Linked DNA regions of Bombyx mori. Each later gene encodes a partner of the first gene's protein in a complex. Links are inferred from orthologs where the notes say so. Each region holds a gene or a part of one and is shown in the gene's direction. Other genes may lie near its edges. The genes, in order: calmodulin, serine/threonine-protein phosphatase rdgC and transient receptor potential protein.

The links.
Region 2: the proteins of calmodulin (region 1) and serine/threonine-protein phosphatase rdgC are in contact, whole or in part, in a crystal structure (PDB 8ZLW), measured with the Drosophila melanogaster proteins. The link is inferred for Bombyx mori from reciprocal best matches to the Drosophila melanogaster genes Cam and rdgC. Residues at the interface, in NP_001246276.1 of Drosophila melanogaster: Glu12, Glu15, Ala16, Leu19, Phe20, Leu33, Met37, Leu40, Met52, Glu55, Val56, Phe69, Met72, Met73, Arg75, Ser82, Glu84, Glu85, Ile86, Glu88, Ala89, Val92, Phe93, Ile101, Leu106, Val109, Met110, Leu113, Glu115, Lys116; in NP_788546.1 of Drosophila melanogaster: Asp2, Glu3, Asn4, Ala5, Ile6, Arg7, Ala8, Ala9, Ile10, Phe11, Ile12, Gln13, Lys14, Trp15, Tyr16, Arg17, Arg18, His19, Gln20, Arg23.
Region 3: the proteins of calmodulin (region 1) and transient receptor potential protein are in contact, whole or in part, in a crystal structure (PDB 7CQV), measured with the Drosophila melanogaster proteins. The link is inferred for Bombyx mori from reciprocal best matches to the Drosophila melanogaster genes Cam and trp. Residues at the interface, in NP_001246276.1 of Drosophila melanogaster: Glu12, Ala16, Leu19, Phe20, Lys22, Leu33, Val36, Met37, Ser39, Leu40, Gln42, Glu48, Asp51, Met52, Glu55, Val56, Ile64, Phe69, Met72, Met73, Lys76; in NP_476768.1 of Drosophila melanogaster: Gly804, Lys805, Met807, Glu808, Arg809, Ile811, Leu812, Asp814, Phe815, Gln816, Ile817, Val820, Glu821, Lys824.

Annotation. Positions count from the first base shown.
Region 1 is NC_085129.1:643,906-648,097, forward strand, and holds the start of calmodulin, read left to right. Parts: upstream 1-1,303; 5' UTR 1,304-1,382; coding exon 1,383-1,385; exon of another isoform or gene 1,386-1,960; coding exon of another isoform or gene 1,961-1,963; intron 1,964-4,192. UniProt on the Drosophila melanogaster protein: Calmodulin mediates the control of a large number of enzymes, ion channels and other proteins by Ca(2+). Among the enzymes to be stimulated by the calmodulin-Ca(2+) complex are a number of protein kinases and phosphatases.
Region 2 is NC_085119.1:7,743,118-7,746,769, forward strand, and holds part of serine/threonine-protein phosphatase rdgC, read left to right. Parts: intron 1-388; coding exon 389-553; intron 554-3,652. UniProt on the Drosophila melanogaster protein: Phosphatase required to prevent light-induced retinal degeneration.
Region 3 is NC_085120.1:6,343,135-6,347,270, forward strand, and holds the start of transient receptor potential protein, read left to right. Parts: upstream 1-1,184; 5' UTR 1,185-1,300; intron 1,301-2,284; 5' UTR 2,285-2,334; coding exon 2,335-2,391; intron 2,392-4,136. UniProt on the Drosophila melanogaster protein: A light-sensitive calcium channel that is required for inositide-mediated Ca(2+) entry in the retina during phospholipase C (PLC)-mediated phototransduction.

The DNA of each region.
Region 1 (4,192 bases):
TCGATACTTACAATCGACAATCGATTGTTTAATAAAATTGACAATTAATTTTTTCTCTTAAAATGAGTTAAAATTTTTAATATTATAATATTATAACTTTAAAACCATCTAATCTGAAAGGATGAAATGAACATTATTTAAATATAAGGTTTTACAGTACAGAATTCGTGATTGCCCCTTTAGCTACAAAAAATCTTTTTATGGAAATGATAAATTAAAGTTATAATCTGCATGCCTTTCATTACATTCATTTTCGTTTCTATAATATCTTCTACAATGTAATAAGAATCTCTTTGTGACTAGTACTAATCTTACGGGGTTCTTACAATGAATGCTTCATAAATATTTCCGACGTGTGTTTTTAATTACATCTCATTGCACACATTGTAAATAAAAATCCTCAAATAACAGTGTCAAGCTAGGTTTTTCTTGTATTATGTATACTGGAAATATATACACGAGACGAGAACAAATATACCTAGAGCCCCAGATGCTAAAAATATTTAAGATACTAAATCGAACCTGAAGCCTTTGTTTGATTTTTCAGGGTCAATAAACACGTAAACAATAAAGCGATCATAAACAATCTACAAGTTCATATTTTTAGTCTGCTTTTACGTATCTTTAAATAAAAGAGATTACTTTGGTAGGTACTATCATAATTCAATTGTCTATATTAATTGGTAGGAAATTATGGTAATTGTTTTTTTGTTTTTTAATTTTTTATTATTTCCGGCATTCCGATTGTGTGCGAATCATACGGAAGATGATATTGCGACAAGATAGGGCAACGTTTACTTTCAGTAGGAATGCGTGTGTGGGGGCGCGGCGTCGGGAAGCCCGTGTTATCTCGTTAGCGGCGCCTGCGGGCGGCACTGCGGCGCGGATCTGGGGCAGCGGCGCTCGGGAGCGGGCACGGGCGGGCGCCGCTCTCGCTGGCGTGGGGCTCGCGGCCGCAGTGACGCATTGCAGGTGCGCGGCGGCCAATCGGCGCGCGCCGGTTCGCGCTCTACGCCGCCGCACCCGCCCCTTATAAAACCGACTATCCTTTGCAGAGCAAATTTAATCCTGTGTTGTGCGTCCCGAAACATGGACTTGGACGTTCCGAGGATAATCATTGTGTAGACCGTTTCCGCCCTGCAGCTTGCGAAACTAACCTTCTCGTGAACGAAAGACGGATATGACAGTGCGACGAATCGAGTAGTCGATTCGGAACGATTCGCGGCCGAGCTCGATCCGAACCGCGATCCCGAGTTTCTCAGCGAGGCCACTCGCGCGAGTGAGGGCGGCAGTATCGTTTCAGCCGTCGGTCCGTGCGGTCGCTTTTGCGGCGTAGTCTGTGATTTTTTAGTGTAGCTCCAGATAATCCAAGTTAATCTACAATGGTGAGTGCTATTTCTATTGAAAGGTGTCGGGAGTGCCTTCAGAAGATCACGAGGAACAGTTTCCGGGTCGTATTTCGGAGAAGTTATGCATCGGTGTTTATAGTGATGACGGCCTCCATTATATTATTGTGATGGCCGTTTTTTTTACCGCATTGCGGATTCGAGAAGTATCAGAAGGCGTAACTGAAGCCTCACAGCGAGGCTTTCGAAATAGATAAACTTCAAAGCAGTGTTGAAAGCTTTAGATTTTGCGATATTTAAAAACGAGCCTATGCAGAAACAACGGTCGCCATAATCTAATAGGTGGTGCCGGTGAAATTACGTTCTTTAATTTGCAGTAGGCCGTTAATGTCGGTTGAAATGGCGCAGGGACGTCGTTGGAAAGAAAACAAATGGCTTTGTAGTTTGGGCATATTGTCGAAAGGCCGCGGCCGCTGTTATGAGGATCGATCGCCGGGCGCAACTGTCAAACGCTCGTTGACTCATCGTCATTATCTGATATTGTACCTACGTAAAACTCTTTTCGTTAGACCGTGTTGTTGTACATAACATATCATCTGCTGTGAAATTCCATAATGGTAACTAAACTTGTCGCTTTCATCGTCGTACGGTGCCACTTATAGTAACAATCATGTAAATAAGTTTTTGTTTATCAAACCAAAACTACAGCTGTAATTCTTTTTCTTTTTTTTTTCGAAAAAGTTTAACATGCTCTTGTTATATTTTAAAAGCTGAATTCTGGTGTCTTACACCAAAATTTCCTTTGCTTGAAGTTACAGAAATTAAGAATAAATCGACGCTTGAAAGGCAAACTTGACTAAGCGACTATAACTGCTTTGTACATAAATGATAAGCAATAACCATATTCAGTGCGCAACGAAAAATAAATTTGTAGGTCTATTAAAATCATTTCAATCATACAGCTAGATTCATTAAAATAAATTTTGTTTTCAGGTATTTCAACTTTAAATTAGTCTACTGTAAAGTTCACGCATTATCGCTTAGTCACGTTTGCCTTTCAAGCTTCGATATGAATACTTGAAATCACAAGGATCGGTGTAGTCCCTATTGCCTACAGTATTACAGTTTGTTCCTGACTAAATCCCTAGCCATTATTTTTTCTATTTTATTTCAGCGGAGAATACTCATACTCGTGTTTAAAAAAATTCATTGAAAGTTTTTTGCCAGTAAAATAATGGGGATTGGGTATGTGGGGTATAATGGTGATATTTTCCCTGCAGCCATTCAAAGTTTTTGTTATGATTTATTTATTGTTCTAAGTTCGCAGATCATGGCTATGAATGTATATAAATTCATACAGAAAGAATCTGCTTTTTAATCTTATTCTAATCTTTAACTATTTTTTTACATCCATTGTTCTAGTAATAACTGTGCTACTCAATAAAATGAAGTCATGAAATGTTAGCTTGAGTATAATAAATAATAAACTGGTGGTAAACATTGATAAATGCTAAATATGCATTCTCAACTAAGGATAAACTTGGTATAATTAAGTTAATATATTATTATAACACCTAAAGTGTAAACATATGTTTAAGTTAAATATTTTTGTATATATCTGAAATTATATTTTTTTCTAATGTGTTTGAAAATCCAAGGAGTTGAGATTAATCTGAAGCTCAATTTAATTGAGTTGGGAAAAAGAAAATATGAAAGAGTTTAGCACATTCTATCATACATTATGAGAACCATTGTTAGCACCTATTGGTATAATTAATAGAGGTCTTTCAATGTGTCGAGGCTTAGCGGAGGCATTCTCATACAACTCTCCAGTTAATATGTAGGACATTGTGGGCTGTAAGCTATGTTTCTCACTACATTAGAATATCTGATAATACAAATCATGTAAAAAGGGCAATATATGTGCAATATTCTTTTCTAAAATAGCTAAGGCCAAATTATCCATATTTAAATAAATGTTCAAGTGACATGATAGTGTAATATTTACCTACTAACTACAATTGGAACTAAAATTAAGATAATAAATTCTTGTGGCCCTGTCAAATGTAGCTTAAGCGATTCTTAGGCTAACATCATTTTGGTACCCTCCGATAGTGCTTAAAGAGACTATTCACATCTAATAAAAAAGAATCCATTAAGCATGTTTATGTATTAAAATTAATTTATTAAAAAGGGAGTGATATTTCAGCTCAAATGATTATTGTCTCTAACAAGCTGAATCTAAATAATAATTCAACATTAAAAAGTGTAGTTGTATCGGAATTGTACAAAAAATGTTAATTTATGCCTCATACATTTGTGTTCCTACGTTGAATCATAACTTAGGTATTTCATACCTATTGCCTACTGTGTAGAATACAACATAGTTATATCAAGTAATATTAGTTTTATTTTTACTGTGTCAATGTGAACAAGTTAGTGACTGTGCATCACTATATTTTTTAGATTTATTTGTTTAGTTATTCATGTTATTGATAACTAAAACATAGTTAAATTAAAAATATATTGCTCTTAGTACAGTAGTATCCCATTTAAGCGGCCGTGAATTCGAGATTGGACATACATGGAGCTTCTTGATTTTCCTGGAAAAAAACTGGCTCTTAGCAATGTGTCTATATTTGAATTTTGCTTGGCACTTGCTTTTCGCCCACAGACCATGACTTGACTAATCATCAAACTTTCGGCCCACAACAACCAAATTTTTTTATTATTATTGCTTAGATGGGTGGACGAGCTCACAGCCCACCTGGCGTTAAGTAGTTACTGGAGCCCATAGACATCCACAACGTAAATGCGCCACCCACCTTGAGATATAAGTTCTAAGG
Region 2 (3,652 bases), on another chromosome or scaffold:
TATTGAGTTCGTATGGCAATCGACATACGTGTGATTCTCGTGTAAACTTTTTATTTGTGGGGCAGATAGATTGAAGCGCCGTATATATCGACCCTTAAGAGTCTTTTGTGCCAAAACCCTGATTTTTATGTATTTTCCAAAAAATAGCGTGAAGTTTTGGTTATCGTTATCGATTTTGGAGACAATTTGGTCTCGGGTAAGTTTCGTATGCATGAAATTTTGAATATCGTTATTGAGTATAGATTTTAGAGACAATTTGTTCTCGGGCATGTTTCGTATAGACTTAGTAACATAATGTGCAGGAAGGAGATTTAAAACGTTTGATATTCTAAATTGCTTTTTGTTTTGATATGCCTGAAAATATATTCATCATACCCTTTCTTTACAGCATCGTTTACATCCAAAGCACGTAGCGCAGATACTGAAAGAGGCCACACAAGTATTGAAAAGGTTACCCAATATCAATGTGGCTACCACATCTATATCTAGCCAGATCACTGTTTGCGGAGATCTCCATGGAAAACTAGACGATCTACTCGTCATATTTCACAAGGTTAGTACTAATGGAAAGAGATTTCAAATAAAATTACAAAAAAATACCACGTGACACTTATTTGAATATTTGAATATCTAATGTCCAAGTCTATATTCGTTGCGACATTGACTATCGCTATCAAGTGGGATCCTCGCAACCCTCTCGGATCACGATTCGAAGTGTTGAAGCAATTTCTTTCCACATTTATAGATTTACGATGAAAGATTTGCCTCTAACTTGATTTTTTGTCAACGGAATCCGAGTCAAAGTATTTTTTTTCCCACATTCGAATAAAATACATCAAGAATCACTACATAGTATAAAACAAAGTCGCTTTCTCTGTCCCTATGTCTGTCTGTCCCTATGTATGCTTAAATCTTTAAAACTACGCAACGGATTTTGATGCGTTTTTTTTAATAGATAAAGTGATTGAAGAGGAAGGTTTATATGTATAATAACATCCATTACATAGTGGAGAAATCAATAATAAATTACAGTTTCCGAAGCGAAGCGAGGGTCGCTAGTCAGATCATATTTTGAAAATAATTTTACATCGCAACACCGAACCTTTCAACGAAGAATTAACCTCTGTTATTGATGAGATTGGTGAATCCATTTATATTTGTCGGAAAATACCCACTTCGCCGTCTCGTGCAAGCCTTGACATATTGACACTACCTATAATGGGATATTATCTCGAGCTAGTTTGCGTTTCACGTTAATGAGAAGGGTTTCTTTTCGTATATCGTATGATATATATTTTTTCCTTTTATATTTCTTTACTAGCTGACCCGGCAGATTTCGTGGTGCCTCAATCGATAAATAAAAAAACCTAAACTTTTGTATAAAATAAACTTAAAAGAAACAAAAGGAATCCGTCCGACGGGGAACACATCAAAAGAAAAACAAAATTGTTATTTTTATTTAATTCCGAGCGTTTTCATATTTATCTACCTTTTAAACCTTCTCTGGACTTCCACAAATAATTCAAGACCAAAATTAGCCAAATCAGTCCAGCCGTTCTTGAGTTTTAGCGAGACTAACGAACAGCAATTCATTTTTATGTATATATATATAGATAGATAGATTAAGCGTAAATGGGCGGATAAGCTTACGACACGTCCTCAAGTAAGTGGTTACAGGAGTCCACACCTGGATATTACTATGTAAATATTCATGAGTTCGGTCGCATGACTGCTACGTTGAAGAAATAGTTAGGTTGTCGGTACCCATCCCTGTGGACTAATAATAATACGGCTAGTAATTACGCTTAATAAATTGAATGGGCTTGCTTGTATGACGTTATTCCTTTATCATGATAATTAAGGAATGTACTTTTAAATGGTCTGTAACGCGTTTGTTTTTACTATTTTTCAAAATAAAATGTCAGTTAACGTGTTCGATTCCCCTCACATGTCGGTCTGGGGACCGGCGAGGGGGGCCTAAGAAGACGACGTGCAAGCTGCTCTGCACGCGTTTTACGCAAGAGCATCCGGGTGATGGAAGGCCGGCTATCCTCGACCCACGCTGGTTCTGGCCCAGCGGGGTATTCCGTAGGGTAACCCACTCTAACCGGCGCCATCTAGGCGGACTTCGGACAGTCTGCCGACCGAGAGGGCTGGTGGTCGTGGCGCCGACGACCGCTAGTCCGGCGTCCCGTGGGGGAGGGTGATGGGAGAGATGTGCTCCGCACTAAACGCTTCACCTTCCCCCCTTTGCCTTGTCATGAGTTCTGTCTCATGCGAGGTTTGCACGTTGGTTGTTGAGCGACAGGAGGTTTTACTCAGTTCGACTCTGACATACCCCGCCCAGTATCCCCAGAAAAGGGCGGAAGTCCAGCGATTTCCTCCTGACAAAAAAAAACCGTGTTCGATTATTCTTGATAGCCTATTATTTGTATGAAGCGAAATTAATGATGAATCAACAAGCGAGCGTATTTATTTATGCCATAATTTGCACTCGCTTTCGAGCGTAGGGAAAGAAACTGGGTCAGATAGACTGGGCGTGATTGACACGTTAACGGTCGCAGCGTACACTATATTGTGTTTTTGTTGTTTTTCCGTAATCGATGGTCGTGGTGGGGCTTTTTACTGGCGGTAGACCTCTTGTGAGTCCGCACGTGTAGGTACCACCACCCCGCCTATTTCTGCCGTGAAGCGACAATGCGTTTCGATTTGAAGGGTGGGGTAGCCGTGGTAACTATACTGAGACCTTAGAACTTATATCTCAAGGTGGGTGGCGCAAGGGCTCGACGAGCGAATGAACCCATAGACACAGCCCACTGAGTTTCTCGCCGGATCTTCTCAGTGGGTCGCGTTTCCGATCCGGTGGTAGTTTTTTTTATTTTTTTTTTATTGCCTTAGTAGGCAGACGAGCGTACGGCCCACCTGATGGTAAGTGGATACCGTCGTCCATGGACTTCAGCTATCCCAGGAGCAGAGCCAAGCCGCTGCCTACTGCGAAGCACTGCTCTTGCTAGGGTCAGTGTTAGCAACTCTCCGGTTTGAGCCCCGTGAGCTCACCTACAAACGTCAGGGTGAAGCTGAAATAGACATTCAAGGCTATCGGCATTTAAAAAAATTTATAATTATAATATTAATTACCTTGTAGATGTCTATTGGCTCCAGTGACCACTTAACACCAGGTGGGCTGTGAGTTCGTCCACCCATCTAAGCAATAAATAAAAAAAACGGTTGTCGGAGGTAGTTTAGGTGAAGAGGTCGCGACTGGCGACCATCGCGCTGGGAGCGGCGCACGCGTCATCCCACGATAATTGGTGTCGCCGCGCCGCGTCCACTACGGTTTGATTGATAGACCGCCTGTTACGCCGGACGACCTAGTTAATTTGCAGATATTGTTTTCCTATTTCTATTTCCGTCTTATTGATGAGGGAAAAAAAGGGGGAACTTTCAATATCGTGTCACTTTTATTAATTTATATTAATAGTGCATAAATTGATTATACTGTCTGACTCGTTGGTAGAGTAGGTAGCGCCGATAGTCGTGGGTTCGATTCTCATTTCGGGCGGACATTCGTATGAACTTAGTTGGTCTATGTATCTATTTATAGATTAGTACCTGGTTTACATTGCTTATTATTTATTTAATTATTTTAATT
Region 3 (4,136 bases), on another chromosome or scaffold:
AGACACAGCCCACTAAGTTTCTCGCCGGATCTTCTCAGTGAGTCGCGTTTCCGATTCGGTAGTAGATTTTGCGAAGCACGACTCTTGCTAGGGTTCGTGTTAGCAACGTCGTCAGGTTTGAGCCCCGTGAGCTCACCCACTAGTTAGGTTACGCTGAAATAACCTCTCAGGACTATCAGCTTGGGTAGGCAAAAAAAAAGAAGTTGCATTCCCATCATAATATAAAATAATAAACTTATTTCCACTTAAACCATGTTTCAACATAATATAAAAAAAATACGGGAAACTGTTCAGTCAACAATCCAATTTTATTTTGTATAATAAAACTTTAAACATCAAACTTATTCGCAATTAAATTTTACAAATGTTGTCGTCCATAGTTTTTTATATCGCTCTGTTCATAAAATAGTTAAATTTATGGATGTCACATTAACCTCGTGAACTTTATTATAGTAAAAGCAACTTTATTAGTTTAGATAGACATTTTAGGACACAATTCGGCGAAAAAAATACGGCCTAAATACAAATGCATTAGGTTGTTTCTCCGCCTCTTCTTTGTGTTAGTAATTATCAACCCTTTTCCTGGTTCGTAATACGATTAATTAATTAAAAAAACTATTCAACGAAAACATTAATAATAATTGGTGGTAACAAATTACAGAGCACATTATTTACAGAACTGTCCAAAAAATGTAGTCTTCTTCGAAAGAATGATAATTACGTATATGATATATTTTGAAAATAGTTAAACGAATCATAAAATGCTAATAAAGTTGGTATGTAGTTATTGCAGATAAATTTCAGTAATAATAGTGAAGAAGAAAAAAAAAATCAGTATTTTATTATTTATAATAAAAATATAATATATTTTCAGTTTCCTAGGTGATCTGGAGGTGCCACAAAAATCACTTCAATTATGTAATTTATCATTGTTTCACGTTTTTCGGTATAACTAACCATAAATTAAAAGAATAAAAAAGTCTTTACGAGTATAAATGAATTTATATGTTTACATTAATGATTATTCAATTCTAAATATCGACATCACAGTATACTATACAACTTAACAATCCCAATTCAACAAAAAAATCTCTAATAATTCACGTTCGGCATATGCATTTACGACAGACGTATAAATATAAAAATAGATTGAACGTGCGAACAGAGCATCGTGCTCTGGGATTAGTATTGTCCGATCTTCGATAGAAAAAACAAGTATCAAACGAATATCCGTCGGAAGATTTTCAATCGGTCAATGTTTACGTTAACAGCGTTCGCGATGTTTTAGCGCAGTGTCATGGTGAGAGTGTGTAATATCAGACATATTGTGGCACCACGACAAAGGTGTCCTTCTTCGCAGTGAATACGTAAACCTGTGTCTTCAACGGGTCGAATTGAACTAAGTTCGATTCACCCCACTCGGAGATTCGCCCCAGAGAGTTCTCCATTTCAGACACAAGTTTAGATCGTCTCTCTTGCACCACGCTCCGAGAAAATACATCTTTTATATACGAAAGTGTTTAAAACGAACCTGAAGTGATTTGTTATTTAAAAAAAAAACTATAAATTCGTAAAACTATAAGTGACAATTATGCATGTGTGCATTTTATCGTATTCAAAAACTTGCTATGAATAAAAAAGGGAAATACGTGAAAGATATAGCAAATACAGATAAAATGACGTATTGAAACATATGTGTTGCAAAGTTATGAAAACGATATTACGTTTTTTTCATCACACATATCGAGAGATGAGAGGTTATTTGGTTTAAACGACGTTTCGCTTAATGCGCCACATTTATCCTTGTAATTAGAGGTCCGTTTTATTTGATACTAGCTGACCCGGCAGACTTCGTAGTGCCTCAATCGATAAATAAAAAACCTAAACTTTTGTATAAAATAAACTTAAAACAAACAAAAGGAATCCGTCCGACGGGGGACACATCAAAGGAAAAACAAAATTGTTTGTATTTATATAATATCCCGAGCTTTTTTATATTTTCTCACCTTTTAAACCTTTTCTGGATTTCCACGAATAATTCAAGACCGAAATTAGCCTGATCCAGCCGTTCCCGAGTTTTAGCGAGACTAACGAACAGCAATTCATTTTTATATAAATAAAGATTAGTATCAACATTTTAATATGTTTAATTGAACTTCAACCAACTTTTTCCGAATTTTAAACTTTAAATGGCCCTCCTGTAAAGTTACAAAAGTGTCGTTTAATCCTAATAGCTTTTCACCCCTCGATATAATAATAAACTTTTTCGGGCATATTCATAAAGTGCAAAGTGTATAGTGATTTAACGTTGTTTTCCAATAATAAATAAACATAATGAAGAGACGAAAAAAAGAGAACAATGTTCACGTTCGTTTTAACATCAGCCATATCGTGAGTAAATTTTATTAAGTAAAATTATTTAGACTTTGATTTTGTTATAGAGATATGAGATAGACTTTGTTAGTTATAGGCACTTACTAAAACTAGTTACTACTTTTTTACTGGTGGCAGGACCTCGTGTGAGTCCGGGCGGGTAGATATCACCACCCTGCCTATTTCTGCCGTGAAGCAGTAATGCGTTTCGGTTTGAAGGGTGGGGCAGCCGTTGTAATCATACTTGGGACCTTAGAACTTATATCTCAAGGTGGGTGGCGCATTTACGTTGTACATGTCTATGGGCTCCAGTAACCACTTAACACCAGGTGGGCTGTGAGCTCGTCCTCCCATCTAAGCAATAAAAAAAAGGATGTTATTTATGAGCTACTATCTAATACTCCGGTCTCCGTTTTTTGTTGTAGCCTAATCGCGTTATTCCTTTTTCGGGTAGATATTGATCCCTGAGGCCGATTAGTTCAGATCACCTGAAGACCCAATCGTTCGCGACCACAAAAACTATAGAGTACATATTTCATTAGAAAAATTGGTACCCGCCTGAGATTCGAACACCGGTGCATCGTTCAACACGAATGCACCGGACGTCTTATCCGTTAGGCCACGACGACTTCAGAATCCTCTAGTAAATACAATCACCACGTATCCAGGAGATGTGATATTTTGCAATATTTTTTTCTACTAGCGTATATGAGTTCACAGTTATTTAAAAAAATAGTTATAATCAGTTGGTAACTACCGTCATTCTGCATTTTTGACACTTTAAACAGAATTAATACGCATTTTTTTAAATTACCACCCAATCTTTAATCAGGGTCCACTCTATTAATGAAACGTACTAATCGAACCAGTGACTAATTTCCATAGCCAGATAAAGAACAAATAAAGCCACAAACCGGATACCCTTATCTTAGTAGTAAGAGGCGCTAACGAGAGCCTCAAAAAGTTAGTCGCATTATGTACCAACTAGTTGCCGAAAAACTCTTGACCGAAAAGAATAGAATGTAAATAAAAGACCTACCTATATAGTGAGCATTGGGTTTTTTTTATTGCTTACACGTGTGGACGAGCTCACAGCCCACTTGGTGTTAAGTGGTTACTGGAGCCCATAGACATCTACGACGTAAATGCGCCACCCACCTTGAGATATAAGTTCTAAGGTCTCAAGTATAGTTATAACGGCTGCCCCACTCTTCAAACCGAAACGCATTATTGCTTCACGGCAGAAATAGGCTGGGTACTTACAGGGTGGTAAGTGCGCGCAGACAGACAAGAGGTCCTACTACCAGTAAGTATATGTCCAGGTGACAGAGGTTGAAGAGAGAGAGAGTTGCTGGGTATGCGTCTGATCAGTAAAAGTGGTTCCATGAGTAGCTTCCATAAGACAACTGGACATCAAGCCGCCCGAGTTCTAATTTATGACTTTGAAAGTGCTTTATGTAATAAAAGCCATTTTATCTCATCGATGACAGCGGGAAATCGTAAAATGCGTTAATTCATTGAACTCTGACGATGTTTTTGACGGGAATTCGGTCAATAACAATAATTCCGGTGAAGCTATATTATTTTAAGTTATAATCGATTTTTTAAATGCATTATAATACCCACAGATGGCATTTGTACCGTTCAGGAATACTCACAACTGGCAATCTACTATTTGTTGTATGCTGTGGTATTGTTGCAGTATTGGCTACTAATATCTTCTCACCATTTAGGCCAAGCTCATTTGCTCTGCTAATTCAAAT